Linked DNA regions of Rattus norvegicus. The protein of the gene in region 1 interacts with the protein of each later gene in a pairwise test. Links are inferred from orthologs where the notes say so. Each region holds a gene or a part of one and is shown on either strand. Other genes may lie near its edges.

Region 1 (3,748 bases):
CACAAGTCTTCCTCTGACTTCCACATACACTCTGGCTGGTTGCGTGTCAATATGACACACAGTATAGTACTATCATCAGAGAGAGAGAGACAAAATTGAGAAATAACTCCACAAGATTGGATTGTACATAAGCCTGTAGGGTTTTTTCCTTAATTAGTGACTGGTGTGGGAGGGCCCAGCCTATTGTAAATATTTTTGTAAAGCATTTTAGGCCATGTATCCAATATGAATCTACTACATAAGTTAATAAAGGTCATGCAGAACACATGATAAACGACTAGAGTTCCTTAATCTGCACAGAGAAAGAGCTGTTCCCAAACTACTTAGCAGCAAATGCCAAGGGTGTACATTTACTAGCATCTCCAGATGTCTCTGGTGAGTAGATTCATGAACAGCACACAGAGTGAGAGCCCTTCCTCTCTAATAGCTGGCTACAGCAAGTGGTGTCACTGCCTACATTAATACCTAGGTTAGAAAAAACAGTATGCTCTTGAGAAACAATTGTAAACTCTGTTCAAAGGTAGATCTAAGCTGGCTCTGTGGTACACTGCTTACCTACCATGCATTGAGGCCCTGGCCTCAATCCCAGCACACCATATACGCAAAACTGTTTAACATATAAGGCAGCAAAATTGGGGGAACAGATGCTCAAATGAGCAGCCGTCATTCTTTCAGGGGCATATTAATGAGCTAACAGGATTTCATATCTTCCATTTGTACTTTATATGTTTATGATACGGAAGCCATGGCAAAGTCCACTGTGATAACAGATGTAAAAACCTTTGGAAAGTACACAAGAAACCCCAAATGCAAATCAGTAGTAAATTAGCCCAGAGGTTAGGGTTTGTTCAGACTTGTGACACCTTCATCTAGATCAGAAGTTAAGAATTCCACAAACAGCCCCAAACATATTTTGTTTACCACTCAGTAGACTGAGATACTACAACTGTCTGTTCCTGATAACCTCCTGTGGAGGGGGATTTGGCTGATGGGTGGACCAGGGCACTGGAGAGCTGTTGTGTGACAGCTTCAGTTCAGGCCAACAAATACTAAATTAAGTTTCTATTATGATGTGTTATATATGATGTTAGATATGGGAGACCGGTCTGTTCTTGAAGGTTTTGCATTCTTCTTTAATATGGTAAAGAAGAATCTCTTGCTTGGGTTATAGGAACTGCTTTCATATAATAAAATGTTGCAATCTCACCGTGGTTGCTTCAGTCCTCAAGTATCAAAGCAGGTCATCAATCCTTACGGGACCAGTGTGAAGTAGGCTAAATGTCTAACAAACTTGTCTTCTGGACACAGAGAAATGTGACAGCGAACTGGCACTGTAGCTGCTAGGCAGCTTCAATTATAGTAGTACAGGATCTGTTTGGGCTTAGGTCATTTGCACATTAAGAAATCAAGACAGACAGAAACTTTAAAAAAAAAAAAGCAAATTACCACCTCTCCAAAAAGCTACCTGTTTTCCTTTTCTACTTTCTAAGTACGGGTCATTCAAGCTCAAAACTACCCCCGTCCCCCACCGCCCCTGTCAGATTCACTGGTGTTTAACAGCCAACTCAAAAAGATATTAATTTTCACGAAAAGTTTGGAGTGGGAATAATTACACAGAATAGCACAAGCAGGATGCTTGAAAGGATTCCCGAGGACCCCTCTGTATGGTGGTTAAGAATGTCTACTCTGGAGTCTACAGTGAATACCTAGTCTCCCCGACAATATCCACTTCAGCCTGAGGTAACTATTGCAGCACCTGGTGCTATTGGGGGAATTAAAGGAGTCTAGCAGGGTGTTAAGGGTTTATCGGTGTCCTCAAACACAAAATCCTACTATGAATGTGGAAGAAAATGGGCCACTGGATTCAGACTGGGGACACTCTTGACATTGTCTCTGGAGATGTCCAAGGAAGGATTATTTTTCATTGAAAATCCGAATGCAAAGATAAGGACATGATAGAGCTGCCCTCAAATAATTTCATCTAGCCTCTGATGAATGATGGCTAAGTAATAAATTAAAACACACACACAGAGTTTAACACTGGGTAGGTTATAAATTGGGATGCTAAGATCTGAAGTGTCTACAGACTCCTCATTTCAAGTGTGTGTGGCATCAAAAATACTCGCTCCCATATTCGGCTTTGGGGAATCCACTTAAATCTTTTAGCTTCTGCTTTCTGGAAAACGGGATAACAAAAAATTATTCCCACAGAGTGATGGCGCGGGTACCGCACAGCAGTACTGCCCCCCCACCACCTGCAGCGGCTTGCAGAGTCTGCGGACCATGAAAGGCGAAGTGGGGCGGGCAGGGCAGCACGACCCGGAGCCAGGTCAGCAGCTCACTTCTAGAGCAAGTCAAGCTGGTTCACCCCTGCCCACCTCAGAAGTCCACTAAGGGGATGGATCCGCTCATCCTCCGCAAGCGCTTTCTTAAAGCGCCAAGCATCAGCCAGGGTGGCGCATCCGCAGGGCCGTGGGCCGCGCGCGCTTATTCTCTGAGGTCGGGATGGGCGGATCCGTTGCCAGGTGAGCGCGAGAAGCCCCTGGCCGCGCATCCCAAACCTCCAGCCTAAGGAACTTTCTAGCACTTTCCACACCTGCCACCCCCGGATTCCCACCCCCAACCTCCCAGCGACCTCGCCCTCACCTTGCTGGAGGTCCCGGTGGTCATACCAGGGCTCATCCTCTATCTCGAACTCCTCCACAAGGTTATCTGCCAGCATGTCGCCGGGGACGTCCGGGGGCAGCGGGCTTTGCCGCCGCCCTGCCGTTTCGGCCGCTGCCCCGGGCTCTCCCCCGACCCCGCCACCCTCAGCCAGAGCCACCCTCGGGCGGGACGCGCCGGTCCCGCTGCAGCTCCCGCCGCCGTCCCGCGCCGCCCAACGGCCCGCGCCCTAGCGAGCGCGCCCCGGGTGGCGCCGGGAGCCGGCTCCTCAAGCCCGCTGCCCGGCCCAACGTGGCACTTTGGCAGAACCCTCCCAAGCCGGGGAGACGATTCAAACCCGGGAGGCGCCTTGACCAATCACGAATGAGCCGCTTGTAGAGTGACAGCGACCTCAGCCAATAGAATATCAAAAAAGGTCGCGGGTCCGCGGACCATCAGCCAATAAAGGCTTAGGAAGGAACAAAGGAGGCGGGGAGGCGAAGAGGGTGCGGTCGGCAGCTCCTCCTCTTTTGTCTGCGTCGCGTCTCCTCAGTTGAGTGCACTCCAGTTCCGGAGTGTGGAGGAGGTTTCAAGCCGATCCAGTGTGCCGAGGACTACGGATTCTGGGCACCGGGCATCCTCTTCCCACACGAGGGTTTCAGATGCGGGTCAACTCTTCTCCGCCCTGTCCTCGGTGGTGCGCGGAGGGAGACTCAGGGTCCGTTGCGAGGTTAAAGGCGAGAGAACGCTACTGAGAGAAAGCTGCTCCTCAATGTCGGAGCCCTTGGCCTCCCAGGAGCATGGACGTGAACTCCTAAAGGGCAATCACCAGCCCCACCTCATACTTGGAGTCTGGGGCTGGCCAGTCAAAGCCGCCTCCCCTGAGAAAAGTTACCACAGTTTTAAAAGCATAGAATTTCTTAAAGGTTCGTAGAGTGTAAGATAAACACCTAGGAGCAGGCCTTGTACTTGGTGGCCAGCTTGCCAGAGTCAGCTTGTTGACGCAGTCTTCACCACTGTTTCTTGGGTTAGACTTTTAGCATATTTGGGTACCTCACATTGGGAAACTCTCAGACGGAGAAAGGTCGACGCAGATGTTTGGGAT
Region 2 (3,748 bases), on another chromosome or scaffold:
ACACATCTTGTAGAACAAACTATATTTTAGTACAAGCAGCGTTCTTGGGGCTTCTCTGTAGCCCAGATGATCCTCTGCAGTGAATCTGGTCTGTGTCCTCAGGTTTCCTAAATGCATTTGATACGATGAAAAAAATTCTGGGAGAATCCTTATGTGTCAATAAGACTGAAAAAGTTAAGATTTCTGGCTTATGGGTATTTTCTTTTTAGTTCTTACTGTCACATGTCTACTATGGCCTAAAAACAGTTCTCTAAGTGTAGCCTCAAGACCTAAGGATCTCTCATAGTTTTAGTATTCTTGCTCCTCTGCCTTCGTGCTGTTTTGCCATTATTTTAGCTGGTTTTTTGTTTTGTTTTGTTTTGTTTTCCGATTTGAGAAAGTTGATCGTTCAGTATGTTGACTCCTCATTTGTGGATTGTTTAGTCTCCCCAGTGTTTTGGAATTCCTCAGAACACACTTATTACTGGTATTTAAAACAAACTAAAAGGTAAGACTCCCCAGTACATGTGAATGCTGTCCTGGTTTTCTTAGATAACCATTTTGTTTCAAAATATTTGGATTCAAAATATTTTTTCTTTTCTTTCTTTTTTTTTTTTTTTTGAAATAGTCTCTTTGTAGCCCAGGCTGGCTTTTGCACTTAATAATTTTCTGCATGAGTTTCTTGTGCTATAATCACAAGCATATGGATCATGCTATGATAATTAATATTATTTTAGCTGTAATGTTTGTGGATGGCACAAAAATCAGTATCTACAAAGGATGTGCCTGAGAGATTAAGTATTCCTCTTCCTTGGTCTGCTGAGAACTCCATGTCATCCAGGAGGCAACCACTGTTAACACCTCTGAGAGTGATTTTTGACTCAGCTTTCTCTCAATTCCTTCCTGGTCTGTGAGATGTATGGCCTTTCCAGGCCCTCAGGACCTCAAATCTGGTTGACTTTAAAAACAAACATTTATATATGTGTATATTTTATGTACATATACAAAATCTCTCCCTATGGCCTTCCGGGCCGGGTTCTCATCACATCGCTTCCTGGATGAAGAACCTGGAAGGGTGAGGTGAGGGGCAGGGGTTGGGGGTGACAGAGAAGGGGACCTGAGGGACTGAGGCCAGGGGTTGAGTGGTGGACTGCTGTGAAGCACTGTAGGGATTCCTATTCTTATTTCTCCCACCAGGCCGCCCTCCAGCTCCGTCCAGCTCAAGCCTCTCCTTTCCTAGGGCCGAGACAGAGACAGAGAGATACAGAGACAGAGACGCCAAGGCACCAGCATCTCTCCCCCCCTCCCCATCCCGCCCCATAGCTCTGACGGACGTCCACTCTTAGCCAATGGTGCTCGCGAATTGCCCTCGGCGGGCCAATGGGAGACAGAGGAGGGCGGAAGCTTGCCCGCCCCCCACTCTAGGCTTGGTTGAGCCGTGCAGGTAGGTCTGGGGCCGGGGGAGCTGCCGTTGGCACTGCTGCCCCGGGGGGTGGGGGCGCGGCGGGTCGGGGTGATGGTGGTGCAGGGTGGCGTGTCTGGGCCGGAGGACGCCGTGGGGGGCGCCGTCGCGGGGCGGCGGGAGGTTGAGGGGTCGCGGGAGCCGGCGCCGCGGAGGGCCCTGAAGGCGGCCGGTCTGAGGACGCGGGGACGCGTGTGTGGGGCGCGGGGACCCTCGGCCGGCGCCCACCCTCAAGGCCTCGGCCTCCGGCCGTGGACCGCGGCGTGCCGGGCGACGAGTGGCCACAGGGCCCGGGAGGGGGGCACCGAGCACAGCCGGGGGCGCCAGGCCGAGCGAGGTGGGACGGACCGTGGCAGGACGGGAAGCGGCATCCCGCGGGCCGCCCCCTCCTGAGGCGAGTCGGTCAACAGCCACGGGCCCCGGGCCGCGAGCCCCAGCCACGGCCGCCCCCCTCCTAACAATGGGGACCGGGCCGGAGGAGTCGTGGGCCGCGGGGGATGGGAGAGGCTCCCGGACGAGGGTCCGAGGCGGGGGAGGGGCGCGGACTCGAGCTCGCTGGGATCTCGGCCCCGCGGTCCTGTAGAGCTGGGGTCCTGTAGAGCTGGGGTCGCGTCGCGGGGTAGTGTGTGGGGGTGCCCAGGCTCGCCTGAGAGTCGGGTCAAGAGTCAAACTCCCGTCCCCACCCCCCAAAATCCAATGAGCGCTAGGCAAAGTGATGCCAAGTGTCCCTAACCGAAGTGACAAACGTGGAGACAGCAAACCCACTCCAGAGCTTTATTTTTAAAACGGGGACATCGACTCTGATTTTAAGAAATTATTTTTAAAGAGGTGAGTGTGTTATTTTTGTGTTCCTACTCGGGCAAGCCTCCATTTTAAGTGAAGCAGTAACTGGTTAAGCTGGAATTTTCATTCAGGCCTAGGACATAGGCTCCTAGAAGGAGTCATTTAGTCCATTCTTCTGAGTCCCTGCAAACTTAACACCCTCCATCTTCAAAATTAATTCCTCTGGTCTGCTTTTAAAAATCTCTGGAAAAGAATGGTCTTTTCTTTTTTGCTTGTACTTCGGTGAGGAATAGATGCTACTTACTTTTTTAATGTAGTTTCAGCTCTGAAACAATTTTAAGAAAAGTTAAAAACTGGAATTGTCAGAAGTTTTTTTTTTTTTGTTTGTTTACCAAATAAAATAGTTGTACATCTTTTTAGATAGTTAATAAATTATTTTCAGTAGTGTTTATGAAATACTCTGGTAGTAATAACTTTTCCTTTAGGATTTTAGTTTTCTGAACCTTTGATAAGTAATTTTCAGTTACTTAAGATTTACGTTGTTCTTTGATATAAAATATATTTCTACACACACACACAGAGATAAACATATGCCCTTTACAAAGGGAATTTTATATTGTATCTTTTTCCTTCTTGGGGGGTTTTGAGACCATCTCAATAAGTAGCTCTCACCTGGCCCAGAACTCACTGTGTCTACCAGGCTGGTGTTGAACTGGTAGATAACAGCCTGCTTCAGTCTCCTCTGAGTGCTAGGACTAAAGTGCACCACGCCCAGCACTTGTACACTTTTTAAGCAACTAGTATTGAATGCCTTTCCCAGATAGATTAAGCTATTTACATATGCTATTTTTTCCATCTAAGTGAAAAAAATTCTTCCTTTTCAGATCTCCTTAATTCCTTATCCGTGGTAACTGGGGAATTACTTAGTCTCTTCCTGCTTATTTCTGAGTTGTCTGAACTATTCCTGACACTATGTATGCTATTTGGATGCCTCTTAAGGTAAGATATATTTGCTTTTCGTTATTTTTATTTTGTTATTTCATATATGTATTTTAGAATCAAGAATACTTGTTCCCGTGTGTTTTGAGTCAGGGTTTCAGAGTCCAGGCTGCTCTGGAACTTTGTAGTTTGCTGAGCATGGCCTTAACTTCATGTATTTGCTGCCTCTACGTTCCAAATGCTAGGATTATAGGTGTTTGCTACTAGGTCTAGATCTACCTAGAATGTTCTTGAACCTGTGGCTCTTCAGGATACCCATCCTTAGAACCATTAGGTTCTTAGGATTTGTTATTGCTGTTCTTGATTGCTGCTGTTCAGACATTAGTGAAGTTCTTAAATTAACTCTATAAGGATGGGTTCCAGTTTTTACTTATTATAGCTTACATCTTGTGAAATTATGTTCCACCTGGTAGATGTGTTGCCAATTCAGACCTTGAGGTCCATTTTCAAACTGGTACTTCAGAGTCATATGAACTTGGGCGTGTCCCACTTTTGCAAATCAGTAGCTGATTCATGTGTTACAAA

The links.
Region 2: the proteins of Cdr2 (region 1) and Kansl1 interact in binary tests that used the Homo sapiens proteins (3 or more experiments, as listed by UniProt). The two-hybrid records come from large-scale screens. The link is inferred for Rattus norvegicus from reciprocal best matches to the Homo sapiens genes CDR2 and KANSL1.

The regions. Positions count from the first base shown.
Region 1 is NC_086019.1:184,956,237-184,959,984, forward strand, and holds the start of Cdr2 (cerebellar degeneration-related protein 2), read right to left. Parts: upstream 2,801-3,748; 5' UTR 2,723-2,800; coding exon 2,647-2,722; intron 1-2,646. Other genes in the region: Mfsd13b (transmembrane protein 180), read left to right, coding at 3,416-3,569.
Region 2 is NC_086028.1:89,866,270-89,870,017, reverse strand, and holds the start of Kansl1 (KAT8 regulatory NSL complex subunit 1), read left to right. Parts: upstream 1-1,397; 5' UTR 1,398-1,423; intron 1,424-2,598; exon of another isoform or gene 2,599-3,108; 5' UTR 3,109-3,223; intron 3,224-3,748. UniProt on the Homo sapiens protein: Non-catalytic component of the NSL histone acetyltransferase complex, a multiprotein complex that mediates histone H4 acetylation at 'Lys-5'- and 'Lys-8' (H4K5ac and H4K8ac) at transcription start sites and promotes transcription initiation.